3 linked regions of the Drosophila melanogaster genome follow. Changing the gene in region 2 together with the main gene of any one other region gives a genetic interaction. Each region holds a gene or a part of one and is shown on either strand. Other genes may lie near its edges. The genes, in order: wek, Toll-6 and Myd88.

Region 1 (4,747 bases), on a different chromosome or scaffold from region 2:
TCACTTAGAACTCACAACATAGCCTACATAGACAATGCCATCACTTCTCAGCCTCAGGCTATTTTCAACTTTTCGCGCAAATGCGGCCCCGATGAGCTGAATAACCAGAAGTACGCCCTCAGTCTCGTTCCTCGCTGCAATGCGACGTTGTGCAGCTTCAAGGAGGCACTGCATACCGTCTTCAAGGTGACCAACCGGCGACCCTGGGTGTGGAACGCAAAGCTGAACATCGGCAGCAAGATCTCCATTAGCCTGCAGGGCATAATCGCCATGAAGAACCAGACGCCCGTAAAGCTGGTAAAGGTCTGGGCGGAAAAGGATGAGATAGTGATACGGGAGACTCGTCATTATATCAAAGGCACTGAGATCACCCCGCTGCCGGAGAATCTGATAACCGGTTACATGCTGGGCGGCACTCCGGTGCCATACGACGAGGCCGTGCTAGAGCCAAAGGAACCACACCCACCTGGTCTCCACTTCTTTGGCTTTATCAAAAGAAATGCCGTGCCGGATGAGTACTTTTGTGGCGAGTCCTTGTACCTCCTGGTGCATCAGAAGCACAATCAATCTGCCGCCGTGAAGCTGGACGCTCTGGTGCGTGCTCTCGTTTCTTCGGATCGGGCCATACTGTGCTGGAAAATATATAGCACCAAGTTTAATAGACCGCAAATGGTTGTGCTACTGCCCCGCTTAGCAGACGATACCCATCCGGCTACTTTGTATATGCTGGAAGTTTCCTATACGTCTCAGCACCACTTCTGGGACTTTCCGGCACTGCGAACCACCAAGACGGAGTGCAGCGAGGAACAGCTGAATGCCATTGATCAGTTAATCGATAGCACCGATCTGGAGTGCACACTGCGGGACACGCAGCAGCCACGTCCGTGGGCGCAGAATGATCTGCTGCCGTTCGACGCACTTCCCAGCATCTTTGAGCAGAATGTCATGGACATCCTAGAGCGAAAAGTTATCTATGATAACGACAAGGAAGACAAAATGCTTAAGGACAAAAACTTCGCAGATGTATTCTGGCGAGTGCCAGATCCCTTGGAGGAGAAGTCAAAGAGAGCGGCAGCCATCGTAAAGAAGCTATTTCCATTGCGCTATAGTCGCGCCTGGCAGGAAAAGCTGTTGGCCAAGGAGCAGGCAGAGAATGGTGTGGCAGTCAAGTCGGAACCAGCGGAGAAGGAAATCCCGTTGCCATCAGACGGTGTGGGCTTAATTGATCCAATCTCTGATTTCAGGCGAGTCCTGGCTAGCGTTCACACAATCAGTAATGCCACTGAGCGAGATGCCCGCTTTCAGGCGCTGGCTGCCGATACCCGCGTGGTGATCATCACACTGCTGCAGCGCAGGAAACAGAACATCGGGCAACTGGGCGAGCTCATCACCCTGTACCGACAGAGCTGTATAGACTTCAACACCTTTTTGGAATACGACAAGTTCGCTGAGGAGCTGAAGAAGATCGCGCTGGCCAAGAATCGCAGCGAATTCTGGCAAGACGTTATGGTCGACAAGCAATTGGGCCCTTTGGTGCTTGGCGAGCCGACGCTGGACGACGAATTGGCTCTAAAAGCCTATTACACCATCGAGAATTGGGTGGAGAGTGGGGCGAACGATATGGAAGACGTTGAGATGTAGTTTATCATTCCATTTTGTTATATTAAGCAAATGTGCTAAAATTAGTTTTTGTTATACACAGTTTTTCTTATATGTAAGTCGAAAATAAATTATTATATTGTTTATATATATATACCAGAGTAAAAACTCGGTCGCATGTTTTAAAAACAACATTATATCCCTGGGAAACCACATCCAAATGATGATGATAATACATCTCTATGTTAATAAACATCGACACGCAGGAAGGAAAACGTTAGTAATACTTCTTATGATTGAGAAAAAAAAGTAAAATAAATACAATTTTCAATTCCAAATTTAAACTGAATACTTTTTGAAAATGGCGGCAACAACTTGTTGTTTTGCACTTATCGATATTTCCAAAAATCATCGGAGTGCGCATACCAATTAATCGATTCGGAATTCCGCTCCATACAGCTGATTTTAATCAGCGCTTTGGCAATAGAATTTAGTCAAAACCCGAGGGCATACTGTACCAAACTGTGGGGCTTCTGTTGAGGATTAGCCATGGGAGTTCCCACAAGCGATTGGATATACTGGTGTCGCCTGTGCGCCCGCGACGACGTTGTATACAAAGTGCGCGAGCGGGACGACGATCTGGTTAGGATTATCAGCAAATGCTTTGATGTGGAGGTATGTTATTCGTTTTCCCAGCCTACAGATAGCTTATACATTAGTTTTCCACACACGCAGATGACCCTCGAGGAACCGGAACTGGGCAGCATGTTGTGCGAGGAGTGCTACTCGGTGATTGGCCAGCTGATCACCTTCTCGGATAGCGTTTCCAAAGTACAAGCCATTTTTGAGCTTCTGCGACACTCGGAGCCGCAGGATAGCCAGGACTTGGACGCCCTGCGTCTGGAATACGGCCTTCCGCCGGCCTGCAAGCAGGACCTCGAGTTCCTGGACATAGACGATACGGAGGATAGGTGTTCCTTGGTAGAGGAGCTAACGATATCAGACCATTCCACATCTCCGTCACCCGATTTTGAAGCACAGACCGTGCGAACACGAGCTAATCTCAAACAGTGTAATTCCGATCCCAAAGTGCTAGCCTCACCTACTGCATCAATTCCTGAAGTTGAAACAAAACGAAGTCGCCGACAGCAGTTTGCGGCTAAGCGAAATTCCAAAGTGTACACTGCAACCGAGTCGGATGATGAGGAGGCCATTCTAGACGAAGACGAGGCCGTATCCCCGCCGCCTTTGAAGCGAAAAAGAGGCAGACCCAAGGGCTCAGGCAAACAGAAAAACGTGGACGACAGCGATAACGTAACTTCCCGCGAACCAGACGACAATGCTAAATCCAAACAAGATGACAAGACATCCGAATTGAGCATGTCACCCCATGGCTCCCAGAGTTCGAATTTCGTCGATTATCCCTGCAAAATCTGCAACGAAACCTTTATGTCCTTCATGGCTCTGCGCAGGCACAAGCACGACATGCACGGCGGTCCGAAGAAATACGTTTGCGATCACTGCGGAAAGGGTTTGAAGACCTTCACATCGCTGGTGGAGCACCAGCTGGTTCACACGGAAGAGAAGCCCTGTATATGCCCCGTCTGCAATGCTGGTTTTAAGAACAAAGCTAGGCTGAGAGTAAGTCATCGAATAATCTTGTGGACCAACTAAATCTTGAAATTTGTATACAATTTCCAGGTGCACAGTCAGACACATGGTGAGCCCAAGTTTGAGTGCAATGTCTGCGGCAAAAAGCTGCAGACACGGGCGATTCTTAACAAGCACAAGTATGTGCACACGGATGAGCGGCGCTTCAAGTGCGAGGTTTGTGGCAGCGGCTGTAAGAACTCCACGGCCTTGAAGATCCATCTCCTTGGACACACCGGCCTCAGACCCTACGTATGCAAGTACTGCGGAAAGGCGTTCGCCAGCAACACCAACTGTCGCTCCCACAAATGGAAAAAACATCCGGAACTGGCGTCCAAGGAGGATGAAACCGAATCTTCACGTGTTCCAGTGCCAACATTGGAAGAACTGAGAGCGATGTAAGCTATAGTCATGCATATTATTATTATTAGCTTACTATTGTACTAAATTTTTGGTTTGCAGAACTCGCGAGATGGCCAAGGCCAAACAGGATTAGACCATGTTGGTTGACAAAAATGTATAAATAGCAGTGCGCAGTAAAATTTTATCCCAGAGACATTTACATTTACACTTAATTAAACACACAACTGCCCTTTTTGCATTTAAATTGGTTTTTAATAAGTTTCAAAATAAATTCACTTTTTAAACGCACACTTAAATTGGGAAATGTGTTCACACATGAAAATGACATTGTATAAAAGATAATAATTGTTTGACTCACAATGTAGATTTAAAAATAACAATTGTAATTTGTGACACCAAATTATGCGTACACTTTGAAACACTCAATTGAAACTCCTGTGAGCGGTTGCAGCATATTTTAAAGATGAGCGCTATTCATAGAACTCCCACGCATGGTTCACTAGATTGCGACAAGTTGGTCTGTAGATAATTCCAAGGGCTTATTCACAATAAAATCAGTTTGAAATTATAACTCAGCAAATGTAAATGCTTCGTGCTAACACCAGATACATTGACACCTAATTAAACACACAACGGCCCTTTTTGCATTTAAGTTGGTTTTTTTTTTAATAATTTCAAAATACATTTACAATTTAAACGCACACTTAAATTGGGGAATGAATGAATGGCATATTGATCACCTATCAATATTTTGTGCCACAACTCGGTGATAAAATAGTAAATATTAAGCGATTAAATAATAAAAATGTAACAAGAGAAAAAAATATAAGGAACAACTAAATTAATACAAATTAGATCATTTGTGAGTGGGTCTCTGTGTAGGATAAATATCTAAACATGTTTTGATTTCGATGGTTTCTCTTTAATTACTTGCTGTTTAGGTTAACACGTTGAGAAGCAAAATATTTTGGCATGGCCTTCCTCCAAACCGAGCAGAGTCAATAAATAGTGCATCCAAGTAGGTTGGCTCTCTATCCCTTCCACCTTCACTCACTCCTAGTCAATGTTCAGCGAGGACATTAACTCTTCGACGCTGCATGGAAATAGAGGAAAGAAAAAATCATGTTGATTAAAC
Region 2 (5,035 bases):
AGGTTTGGTCATGGAAGCACGTGCAATTCGTGGGGCAGGTCATCTCGCAATCACAAGCATCGAACTCACAGCAATGGCAAACGGCGAAGCAATGGGTCTTGTAGGTGCACAAAAAGTGCTTGGGTTCAGCTTCGATCAGGGGAATATAGGCCCTCTCCCTGTTGTTCAGCAACTTGCAGTATATGGTCTCCAGATCCATAATCCTTGGATATTGCCTCGATGTTATATGGTTAATCTTCTGCAGCCAATCAATGTTACAATCGCAGGTGAAGGGATTTCCACCAATATAGAACTCTGGCAGAGCTCGATGTTCCCAAACTGGCAGAATCCTCAAGGACTTGATGTCCAGCGTTGTGATTTGGTTCGCATAGAGATCCACCCGGGTCAGATTGGTTTTGTGCATAAAGGTATCTGGATCAACGGTGGTTATCAGGTTGTCGTTCAGGAACAGCAGTTCGATAGAGTTTGGTATGGAACTGGGTCCAATGCGCTGAAGTTGATTAAAGCTCACATCGAGAGTTTGTAGTTTTAGCTCACTATCCAAACCAAAACGATTTGATAAGGAACTCAACCGATTCTTATGGAGGTCCAGCCACTGCAGGGTGGATGGCACATGTCCATAATCAAAGGATTCCAAACGATTATCGGATATATTCAGCCACAGAAGGGAGGGCATGTTGCTGAAGAGGCCATTGATGTCATTCAGCTCATTGCCATCCAAACGCACAGCTTGAATGCTCGAGGTCATCTCAAAGGCCCCCGGTTCCACAACTGCTATGCGGTTTCTGGCGAGATTCAGGATTTGCAAATTAGGCAGATCCCTGAAGGTGTGCATCGTAATATTCTCCAGGTAGTTGCCAATCAAGCGGAGACCATAGAGATTTCCCAGACCTTTAAACGCACTATCCTCCATAACGGTAATCATGTTCTCGCCCAGATCCACGGTTCTCAAATGGCGCATATTCCTCAGGGCCAGCGGAACTGTCTTCAGCTGATTGCCATTCAAGTTGAGGTCCTGCAGGGCACTGCAGTTCCGGAAGGCATCCGGATGCACGCCAATCAGCGCATTATTGTCCAGCGAGAGCAGCGACAGTACATACAATCCGTTCAGAGCATATGCATCCAGATACTTCAGTTTGTTGTGCGACAGCAGCAGCGTGTGCAGATTATTCATCGGGGCAAAAGTGTCGGCTGCGATGTTCTCCAGCTGATTGTGACGCAGATTAAGAATCTGCAGGGTGTACAAGTCGCTGAAGATCTCTGGCTCCAGTTTGGTCAACTTGTTGTGCGACAAATTAAGCAGAACCAGACGAATCAGACCCACAAAGGTGTTCTTATCGATCCAGGTGGAGGTTATCTGGTTCATGGACAGGTCCAGGGCCTGCAGCTGGTCCAGATTCGAGAAGAGCTGCGGATTCAGCACACTTATGGAATTATTCTGCAGGTACACCTCTTGGATAATCTTGGCTTGCTCAGCGAAGAGTTCTGTGGGCAAGGCCACGATTTTGTTGGAGCTCAGGTTCAGGATCTGCAGGTTCTTCAGTCCACTGAGAGCCTTGTCCGCAATCATGGAGATGCCATTGTTGTTGACCGAAAGGACTCGCAGCCTCCTCAGAGTGCCAAATCCATTTGCTGGCAGCACGACGAAATCATTGTGGCTCACATCCAGGTACTCCAGGTCCAGCGAACAACTGGTGCTTGAGCTACTGCTCTTTTTGGCCGATTCGGTGGTGGAGGTGGATTCGGTGGAACCATTGGTTGGCTCCTTGCTGCGATCCCTGAAGCCCAGCTCGTTGACGTCCTGCAGGCGATTCTCGCTCATGTTCAGGGCAGACAACTCGGACAGGGTGCAGAATATGTTATCCGGCAGGGACCAGATGTTGTTCGAACTGAGGTCCAGTCTCTCCAACCTCCGAGTGACCGAGAAGGCATCCGCTTCTATCTCGAAATTCAGCGCTGGCCACAGGATGTTGTGCGTCCGGAGCGTCAGGTTCCTCAGCTGCTCCAGACCATCCAGAACCTGGCGACCCAGTCGCCCCAGCTTGCAATACTGGATGGACAGCTGCTGGAGCCTAACCAGATGGGCGAAAGATTGCGCCTCCAGGCGACTCTTGGCCATGATTTCGTCATTGCACAGTATGTGCAGGGCAATCGTGTGCTCGGCGGGTATAACACTGAAATTGGTTGTGTCAAACTCGCTGTTCACCGTGCGCAGGTTGCACGTTAAGGCTATTTCCGGCTGATCCAGACCCGCTGCTGGCATGAAGTGACAGTCGTCGGGGGCGTCATACAGCGAAGGGTCACCACCCGCGCCCGCGGTCAAGGGTCGCAGGGTTCGCGCCGGAGTCGAGGGCTGCATTAGCTGCGAGTTGGAGACCCCAGCCTCACCCATTATCGCATTCGAGTGCGACAGCTGCTGCTGCTGGTGGTGCTTGGTGGACAGCGATTCCGTGGTGTGCTGCTGATCCTGGGCCAGGACCACGGGCAGTATGAGTAGCATATAGTAGATCATTTTGGCGATTCACGGTTTAGCTGCGTGGAGGCACCGGAAAATGGGTTTGCGGAGGGGGGAAAGACGGTACAAGCGGGGGTCTTGGGGAGAAACGAAAAGAAAATCAATTCCACTGGCTGGCCAAAGAAAAGTCTGCGCACATATTTTCGGCTTCTGTGCTCCCTCTACTCCAAGCCAGATTTTCTTTATTTTCCCCCGATTCTTTAGTTAATTATGCTCTCCGTGTTTTCTTCTCTCTTACACCCGGCACATTTTCTAGCACTTGGCCTTTTCTATCCTCTTTATATTTAAATTTTTCTTTTTTATTCGTTTCGGCGCTTTGAATTACTCGCTTCGAAGTTTTTGTTTATTACACGTCGCGTTATAGGAACCTTTGATGAATTTCAATTTAGCTGCGGGCTCGACTTCTATTATCACTTTTTCATTTGGCTGAACTGAACCCACTTTTTCTGGGACTTGAGCGGTGCAGCAGCGTCGATATTTTCCGGTTCGTAATGTAACGCGCACGTTGGCTGATTTTCGACTGACTGCCGCAACGTGCGCAACTTCTCTTTTAAATGGAGAGTCGTCCACGAACTCGAAACCCCGAAAATCCGAAAAGCCGAACGCGAGCCGAAGGGGGCTGGAAAACAGACGAAGAGCAGCCGACAGGCTCTGCACGGGCGGGAAATGCTGAGAGTTTTCGGAGAGTATGACTAAAGGGAAATTCGCTCTGGCTCGACGGATGCTGGAAAATGTTTTTCTTTCTCTCCATCTAATCGCATCGAACAGCTGGCGTTCGTTCGTGTTTTCCTTTTGATTTTCTCTGTCTTTTTTCGTCGTATTTCGTATATCCTTTATTTTTTTGCCGCCGAATCGGAGATAGAGCTCCGCACCCCCCGCCGCCAACCGGCGACTTCTCTGCTGTCTCTGTTTTGATAATGAAAATATATGATGTGCATGGGCCAGCGCCAATCTTCATACAAACGTAATTTATTTTTATGCCATGTGCATGTGTGTGTCGGTGTGCCGAGAAGGTCCTTCGGCTGCTTTTTGCTCCTGTTTCGTGGGCCCAGACCCGTATAAAAATAATAATTCCTCACATTCCATTAAATTACAATAATAATTTTAATTAAACTGTTTTGTTTGCGCCTCATGTAACAATTCCTGTGGTTTCATGACTTCTTTTTCGCCCAGCAAAGCAGCAAAAAACTGTCTTCCCCATCAGGTTAATGATAATGATTATGGGCCAGCATTATGGGGTTTCGTTGGGCTTTGGATGTGTGGGGATTTCTGTGGATTCCTCGTTCTCAAATCCGGAAAGTTATGCAAGGACTTGGTTAGACTCGATTGGGAGATGCTGGAAATAGCAAATATGAAAATTCGTGAGCAGAGTTTTTATAAAAAGCTCCTTTTATAGGATATCTTAAATCGCACACTGCAAATTCAGATTTTTGTAGTTACTTAAATTTTGAATTATGTTATTGTCTTTTGGACTTAAATTAATATTTCTTTGAGATTAATTACACTTGGAACATTTTACTACTTCAAATAATAAATATACAATTTTTGCTTCACGCGCCTATGATTTTGATGAATGTATTATAATCTTACCTAAAGTAGTCCTGGTATCTCGAAAAAGAAATCAATCTATCAAGGAAATTTTCCAAGGGTTAATTTACAAAGAAGACTGTCTATTGTTCCTTATTTCGTTAACCTCCGGCATGTATGTATTTTGATTGTTCAATATTTGGGTGAAAGCAGAAATATTGATGGATCACCGCCAACAAATTCAATGGCGATTACCACGGCATGGTAACCTTGATAAACTTCGGGTCTTTCATGACTAATTCCCAAGAAAAACAGCTGCCCTGGACACTTTATCTTGGGCTAATATTTCTTAGCTGGCTTGAAAGTTTTCCCATATCCATGGGTGTTGTGGCTAAGGATCTTTTTGTCGCCACTAAAAGCAAACACAAAAACATTTTTGCCAAATTGCGTCAGCCAACAGAACGCCTCCCACCCATTTTTCGTGCTGGGGTAATGATTTGCCTAATGTTTCTAACAATTATGTGGCTTGGCCACACAAAAGAATATATTATGTAAGTTATTAAAATTATATCACCAGCAGGAGCAGCAGCAGAGCCACGAACAGCAGCCAAGTCTAATAAGCCTCCTGCACAGTGAAGAAAACTATTGCAGTTCAGTCTTAATTTGAGAGATTTTCTCAGTAAGATATTCGCTAAAAATATTAGTTATTTAGGCACATGATGTTTTTCTTTTACCAATTACTCTTGTACAGGGATGTATTACTGTTTTATTCACAAGATTTTCCTTCAGTGCACCCCTTATTTTACTCACCTTCAGGCTTTCGCAGGCTCTTTCAAATGTAAATGGCGGCAAGGACGAGGTTTTGTGGCTCGCTTTCCTTTGTGTGGTGGCACATGCAACCAAGAAGGAATATTTCTTCCCCGGCCTGGTATTCTTTTTTCGGTAGTTATCAATTTGGTGAACGCTTCTGGCTTTTGTCCGTGGTCCTGGTCG
Region 3 (8,091 bases), on a different chromosome or scaffold from region 2:
AAACAAAAAAAATACAAAAAATTTAAACCGATTCGAACTGTCTTGTAGATTAACCGGAACTGGTCGATAAACATTTCCACTCAATATGTACGCGAACAACTGTATGTAAATACATATACGGGGATTCACACATCAACTGCAATGTTTATTAAACATGAACGAACTAAAGGTTGTCTACATTCAACAATAAATTATTGAGCCAAACATTGAACAGTTTATTGCCGCTCAACTGGAGCTAGCTTATTTCCGATATGGATACAGTGCGTTTCATAACCATGACCGCCAAGTGCCACGTGTCGCGAAGGTCGAAGTTCGAGCGTTCGATGCCCGACATTGAGGAACATATGTATATTGCGTTTTATCCACATTCGTTGTCGCTTGACAAAAGTTGGACATAATATATGGTTGTCGATCGACTCTATATGGTTTTGAAACGCACTGTCCGGAGATACATATAATACTATATAGACTCTAGATACATTGAAAGAGACGATGTGATGATGGATGACGTATTGATAGTCTTTGCTTTATAACAAGTGAGTGTGCTTAGGTGCACATCAGGCATATGGGCACGCATTCACAGCAATCAGTAACAATCGGTAACAGCTAGGCTAGAGCTAATCACATGAGGCAACCAGCCGATGGCGGTACCGAGAACAAACAGTTTACTTATTGCTAGCAATCGTCTAAAACGGCTTGAGCAGTTTACAAAATGATAAAGCACTGCTCGCACAATGCAGCCATATGTACGTATGCGTTATATATGCTCATTACTCATTCTCAGATGGGGTCTGAGTTGCGAGAACGGCGCGCGAGATAATTAAATTAAGTAAGTCACTTATCGAACGCGTGACTAACAGTTAATTGAGCACTTCGATTAGCAGTGTCGCGTATTTAACCTCACTCAACGCAATTGCCAATTTGTCTGTTTATCAAGTCCAGAGTCATATACATAGAGCATATAGCAATATCGTGTCGTATTTGGTAGTCTGTGTGCTTTTGTGATACATTTGTGCGGATATGTGGTATTGTCTTTATTCGTTGTTGTCTTATATAAGTTAACAAGTGCGTCTAAGTATATTAAGTTAGTTGACTTGATAAGGATTAGGCTAAAGATTATCACTAGGCATGGAGGGTGACGACATTGGTGACTGGGCGGCCACAACTAGACTGGGCACACGACAAGGAATCAAAGAATCGAGAAATCGAATGAATGGCTATCCTAACACTATGATCTCAGCCCGGCGTCTGCAGCTTGCTGCTGGATCGCGAGAATAGGGCCTTCTTCAGGATGTTCGGCTGCCACTTGATGAAGCTCTTCTTGCTCTCCGACGTGGTGGAGATGTTGGAGCTGCTGGCACTGAGTGTCCTCTCGCGTTCCGTGACATTTATGGTGCTGACGGAGTGGGCATGACGCAGAGTCTTGCCGCTGGCCCCATCGCTCCGCGCCGTCTTTCCAAAGCTGTGCGTGATTCTGCGCAGGAAGCGATCCTTTTTCTTCGGCTTGTGCTCCGGCAGGGGTGAGCCGGTGTCACCGGAAACCGAAACGATTGTGGTCTCCGCCTCCGGCACTTTGCAGCTGTTGTAGTTTGGCATATCAGTGACATCCTTGTCGTTGATCTGAATCCGAATGCTGGGAGTGGTCACCCGGGGAGCCGATTCCTCCACCGGCGAGGGACTGCATAAAGAAATTTTAGAGAATGCCAAATTTATGATATGAGTGATAAAATTCCAACATGTTTTACAATTAACAGCAAAACTAATTTCGCTTCAATATAATCTTACGCCCAGATATATAATACATTTATTTCCTGTTTATAAATTTGTTTCAAATTTGATTACTCATATGCAGTGTATTACTTCCTGGGCACTTTAAAAGTCGTATGAGTTCATCTTTCTGAAACAAACGTATCTTCTTTGAATTTAGCAAAACTAAATAAAAATACCTGCTAGGCTGTTCTAAGGTTGATCGCTCGTACGCCATGTGATATTTGCTTATATATTTTGTTTACAAGCAGTTGGTATACATTTGCACATTTTATGTGAATGTTGTGAAACGATTTCGCAGCCCCTACAACCAGCAGTAGCAATAATTGAACAGTAAAATCAAAAACTTAAGCTAATAAAATGTATTCTAAAACAGCTTCTTAAATTGGGATGACTAGACTACTTCATGTATTCGTATTCAGTTTGCAAACCTCATTTATCTGTTGGCTAGCAATCTACATTATCTTGAGATTTTATACCCCTAAAAATGTATCAAGTATTTTTGGAACACATACATATACATATATCGCAGGAAGTAGCAACACTTACGTCTGCACCTGGCGCGTGGAGTAGATCGAAAAGGCATCCAGATCGTGTAGGGAACGAGCCAACTTGTCCCAGAAGTTGAACAACTTGGAGTCCCCGGCGTACTTGATGTGCGTGTAAATGCCCAGGGTCTGGGGTATGTGCATGTCCGTTTTGTACAGAATCGGTATGATCTTGCGAGTGTGATTCTCTGGGGAAAGTCAGATCGTTGAACTTGTAATGCGACTCTGGCTCTGCGATACAAATGCGTATCAGCTACTCACCAATCTGGATCTTTTGGGTGAAGTTCACGAGGTACGTGTTCTCCGGACTCCGAAGAAACTCCTCTGTGAGCACGACGATCAGGTGATTGCAGCGGGTGGCCATGAAATGGGATAGCTGGACATGCTCGAACGGAACGCCCATTAGCATGTCGCGGTGGCGCAGGAATAGCTGCAATAGAACGATCCCATGGTTATTTAATACAACACACAGCAACCGAGCGCATCCCACTCACCCTGAGATTGTATCGCTCAGACTCTAGATTATTCATGATCTCGGTGGCATGATCGATGTCTGCCTCCGCGTACAGAACACATGCGTTGTATCTGGGCAGCGGTTGGCCCATCTGTACACATCTCTGGTCCTCGTCGCTGAGGATCTGCACACTTTGGCCCACTGTGATGTTGTTGCTGCTGCTGTAGTTGTTGTTGGTCTCGAAGCAGTCGCTGGGGGGCGGCGGACACGCCTCCACGAGAGCAGTCTGTCGCTGCTCCTGTTTCATGATGAAGCGCTGGGTGTCCTTGGCTTTTGAGGAGAGCAAAATTAAAACAGTTTTACTAAAGGGATTATGATTGCTAAAAACTACAAGGCCGCACAAAAAGTTTTCTTAACACATCATTCGTAAAGTAAACAACACAATTTATACATGTTAATGTCAAAATCAAATTACTTAAATTATGTTTATTAAATAATAAATATAACCCTTTGTTGATATATAATGAGCTTAAAGGAATGGCATAGTGAAGTTTATCTGAGTTTCTGCACACAGTCGCTAATATATGAAGCTTTCATAACAAATTGGTAGTATTTATGATTTGTAACTCAATATTATGTATGAATAGATAAGTGTATGCATATATCCATTCAGATGTCTGCCATTGTCTCCCCATCTTTTTATTCCAAATATATTGTCAGCAGAAAAGATCATTCTAGTAAGAGGTAGTGAATTCTAGATTCAAGCAGTTATCATCAACGACACATTTATAAAAAATTTACTTTTTTAGTTATTTTTAGTTTTATTGGAATATTTCTAAAACACCCAATGAAAGATCATTAGAAAAGGAATTCAAACATTTCCTTTGAAAAATTCCTAATACGATTTTAATTATGTGTGCTTTTTTATACCTTAAGCATTCAACTTCCGAGTGCGTTCATTTGTTTTTAAATCGAACCATTTTGGTCACAACGAATATATCTATACAACATCTGCTCCTAAACAAAATTGACTGTTCGAGGTTTTTTATTAATGACAACAGTTTTTGCTGGGTGAATCCCCATTGTGCAAATAAATAAGAAAATTTCGTTCTTAACTGATTGGCATTTTCTATAGTTTAAGTTCTGTTGTTTGCGGCTTTTAGAAATTATTGTTTTGAATTTTTTCTTTATGGCTGTGTGTTTTTCAATTTGTCGGGATGTGGTAATAAAAATCTTGTAAGTCGAAGCGTTTTATTTGACAATAAATAGAAATAAACACAAATTAATCATGGGAAAGTGGGTGACTTTTATTTCTGTCATTACGTATCTACTCATCATAACTCAATAGTTTTATGTATCCGACGATAAGCTTTGTTTGACTTAGATAAATGTGCGATAGATAAGTTAAATATGTACGCTTTCTGCATATACTCCCTATATTATATAGATTACCACGTCCATTTTTATAAACTCGAAACGGCTTTTCCGGTCATAAAACCAAAAATGGATCAGCCAAAAATAATTGATAAGTGTGGCTCGCCATTAAAGTAAAATTTAATGGTTCATTTTCCGATTTCCAACATTTGTGTACATATCATTTGATAAGTACATTATTTAAAATTCCTCTTCAACTTCGCAAACTCGAGAACAGTCAAACATACATAGTTAGTCTAGACGTTTAACTAAATTTTCACTGTCACGATGGCATTTTGAAGTAAAAGTCGAATCGTCAGACCATCATTTAAAAGCTAATCTAAAACAAATGATACTCAAAACTCAAGTGACATAGTTTAGTTATAGATAGATAGCGACTACCATAAGTAAAAAATAGTTAATGCCTACCCAGATTCTCCTGGATATCGTCGCAGACGTCCCACCGATCGATAATGCCCAGGAAGTGTTCCAGATGGCCCACCTTGGCGGTCTGGGGACTCCGCTGGCTCCAGCTGATCAGCACCAGATCCATGGGATTGTTGGCGTTCTCGTCGACGAATCCCTTCTGCTTGGCCAGCTCCGAGATGCCGCGCCAGTCCCGCTGGTAGCCCTCCTCGGATCGCAGCACCTTCTTGCGGTTCAGCATGCGGGACAGCTGGGTGCGGGTCTCGATGCCCAGTGCGGATAATGGGGTCTCGTTGAAGTGCCCCAAGCCCGTTCCCGTGCCCGATCCCGACCCGGAGTCCATAACTCCCTCGGCCACCACCATGCCAGCGGTGCGATAACGCCGATAACTGACGTCAGTGGCGCCGTAAATGTGATGGTGATGGGGCGGATTGGGATGGCGGTGGGTATGGTGATGGAAGTGGGAGTGGGGCTGGTAGTGGGAATGGGCCACCGAGTGCTGCTGATGGCATACAAATCGAGGGCGCATTCGCACTTGGCGCTGGCTTTATTGGAATAATTGGTGTTTGTTTGCTGGCGTATTTGTTTTAGTGTGGATGCGATGTGATGCGATATATATTTATCAACTGACGTTTATCAGTCGAGAGGGCGGCGAGCAATAAAACGATGAAGCGCGTGAGTTGTGCTGCTCTGTAGATTTTTTCGAGTTTTCCGATCGCGCGTGCTTGTTTTTTTTTTGTTTTTTGCGGGCGGATGAAGCTGAAACTGGTTAGAAGGGGGTGGTGCTTTACTGCTAAACTTCTATACTTCAGTGCGGTGCGAAATGGACCGAGTGACCTCCAGCACCTTGCCGCGTCACAGTCGCGTTGTTGTTGCTGTCTCGGATTCTGTTTTTATTTATCTGTCTGCTCCGCTGCGAGAGGAGATGGAGATCTTCGCCTTCGTTTTCGTCGCGTTTTTTATTCGTCTGGCGTATGATTTTTTGAATATTGTTTAAATATACACAACACACACACTCACAATCAGTGGCGCACGCACACAGTGTCGCCCTAAGCACAGAAATAAATTCGTTTCGCTTTTTTCGAGTGCGTCCGCTCCGGTTTGTTGTTTTGTTTCGACTGGTTCTGTCCGCCGTTTGTGCTTTTGTTTCTGCCTCGTTGTCCGCTCCTCCTCCGCCTCCTCCCCAACGGACTACTCTTCGCGCTCACTCTCCCGCGCTCTTTCTCCACCGCCTTTCACTCGCTTGTTTATTTTGGTTTCGTTCCGATGCAGGGCGAAAGCGCGGGGGCCACAGGCGGAACTATCAGCTCAGCTGCTTTTTCTAGTCGGCTGACAACACTCTGTTTGCACTGGCTAATTGCTAATTAATTTATCTGCGCTGCGTTCCCACTTTTCAGATCAGATCGCGATTCCGATAAGCTCGTGGCGATCGATGGGCAAAAGCTTGGCGAGTCACAGCTTTTCGGGTGGCCAGTCATCGGCGAGGTTTGGTACTTTATCGGGGCCAGTTATCGGTTGCGGTATTTTTGGTGCGCGGGCCACACTTTAATAGGTTCCAAAAGCATTCACCAGATGGCGCTCTAAGAGTGGTTGACTTAATTTCCGGTTGGTTAAATATAATTTAGGAACGTTGGTTCTTGCCGTAGGATTCCTAATTATTCATAAGCATAATTGATAATGATTTCTTGCTAGTGCAAAAGCAAGAAGAGTAGTAAAGTGAGTAAAAACGCACTCTCCTATTCGACCGGCTGATGTAGGCAATCTAACTCCTTTCAGTTATGCAGAGAATGGTACCTTTAATGGTGCCTCAAAAAGGAATATTTTACATTTCGACCTGTCCAAGACATACTTACTCATTTTACCGAGAAATATTGCTTCCCCGAAATCAACTGATTTGAGACGATAATGTGGGGAAATGAACATGCCAACCAAGGACCACACTCTCGTAAATAATAGTCAGAGAGCACTTGTAAATTCAGTTTATTTTCATTTGATTTTGTTTGTTCTTTGTGTGGTTGATGCCTGCACCTCAACGCTTTTCATTTTCAGTTACAAATACTGAGATATACTTACTACACAGGTGACACAAATTGATTTATCGCTTTTATGGCTTTGTTTGACTTTTTCTTTCGATTCAACATTTCTTGCTTTGCTTGATGAATAAAACGCTGAAGGCGTTCAAATGTATTTTAAATATATTTGTTTTGCTTTTTCATGGTTTATTTTTGTAGTTTTCGTTTTTCGGTCGGCGTTGCGTTTTGCATTGCCAGCAACAATTAACAGTAAAAGTTGATGCCTTGCACACAAGTTGAAGTTGAAGTTACCTGCTTTTGTTTGAATTCCGTTGTTAATTTATTTAATGTTGATTTACTCGGATAAGCCCCATCATTAGTTATTAATGTACCTACTTGGTATTTACTCATTTGGTTTGTTTGTGGCTCTATTTACAATACATCTGCCTGTGTGTGGTGTGGTTTGTGTGTCTTTCTTTGTATTTCGTTCATTTTTCACTTGTAAATAATTGCTCAAACTGGATTGGGCACCAAAAGTCTCTCGTTCAAAGGCTAAAAAGTTTGATTTTTTTCTCGAGAAATAATTTCGTTATTCATTAATTTATGCTTGCTGCGTGTTTGTGTTTAACCTGTGTCATTATTCAATATTCATTGGTATTTCGCCCTAGAACGTTTCGAGTATTTCAATTACATCAATTTACTTGCTTCGATTGTAGTTGTTTGTATAATAATTCAGCTTACATTTTTACACTTAGCTAGCCATAAATATAGACATTAGTTGTGTTCTTTTAATTAGGTCTCCCCTACCTCCTTCATTCAGTTAATCTCCTTTTTACTTTCGTTAGTTTAAGCATGCAGTTAAATCAATTTTGCAAACCTAGTGGATATGCTCTGCCCCATGTGTTAAATGCAATTACTAAGTATATTGTTGTTTGATTGTATATACTAAATATCCTTTGTGACTGCCTGGCGACAAATTTGATTATTTTAGCCTCTGTTTTAGCCTGTGTGTATTTGTGGTCAAATTCGAATGGCTTTCTGGGCCAAAATGCGTATCTTACAAATCTGAATGAGGTGTGTGATTCTTTGTCCCAGATGTACTTGCATTGCATTTAACAACGACCCGCTCTAAGTAGATTAAATGTTTAAGTTTACAATTTATTGAGCTAATTTAAAGCTTTCCATTTGTTTTCGCCCTGCCCGCCATTGAAATTCCGCTTCCCTGCTCGCCAAATGGCTTAAAAACAAATAAATTCGTATACAGAGAAAACTAATTGTAAGGAAAAGCTGAAACTGTCCAACTATAAAATCACGTAATTTACCTGAAACATGTGCTCTTAAATCAGATATTTATTGCAAATAATTTAGCCAGTTTTTAGTTAAGAGTTAACCGTATCAGTTTTGAATGGAAAAACAAAAATTTGTTTGTTTTTAAGATATTTCCTAAAATCATGCACTTTGTTATTTTTCT

What was found.
Region 1: of Toll-6 (region 2) and wek, changing one suppresses a phenotype caused by changing the other (phenotypic suppression), as found in Drosophila melanogaster (one study listed by BioGRID).
Region 3: of Toll-6 (region 2) and Myd88, changing one enhances a phenotype caused by changing the other (phenotypic enhancement), as found in Drosophila melanogaster (one study listed by BioGRID).

The regions. Positions count from the first base shown.
Region 1 is NT_033779.5:15,765,633-15,770,379, reverse strand, and holds wek (weckle), read left to right. Parts: upstream 1-2,030; 5' UTR 2,031-2,148; coding exon 2,149-2,274; intron 2,275-2,334; coding exon 2,335-3,240; intron 3,241-3,300; coding exon 3,301-3,647; intron 3,648-3,711; coding exon 3,712-3,745; 3' UTR 3,746-4,247; downstream 4,248-4,747. Other genes in the region: Ku80, read left to right, coding at 9-1,641; CG3793 (uncharacterized protein), read right to left, coding at 4,669-4,705. UniProt on the Drosophila melanogaster protein: Acts as an adapter to assemble/stabilize a Toll/wek/Myd88/tube complex; required for efficient recruitment of Myd88 to Toll. Dispensable for innate immune response; plays a minimal role, if any, in the immune defense against Gram-positive bacteria and fungi.
Region 2 is NT_037436.4:15,334,702-15,339,736, reverse strand, and holds the start of Toll-6 (Toll-6), read right to left. Parts: upstream 3,046-5,035; 5' UTR 2,513-3,045; coding exon 1-2,512.
Region 3 is NT_033778.4:9,302,658-9,310,748, forward strand, and holds Myd88 (Myd88), read right to left. Parts: upstream 6,066-8,091; 5' UTR 5,138-6,065; coding exon 4,612-5,137; intron 3,100-4,611; coding exon 2,810-3,099; intron 2,746-2,809; coding exon 2,577-2,745; intron 2,504-2,576; coding exon 2,317-2,503; intron 1,679-2,316; coding exon 1,237-1,678; 3' UTR 166-1,236; downstream 1-165.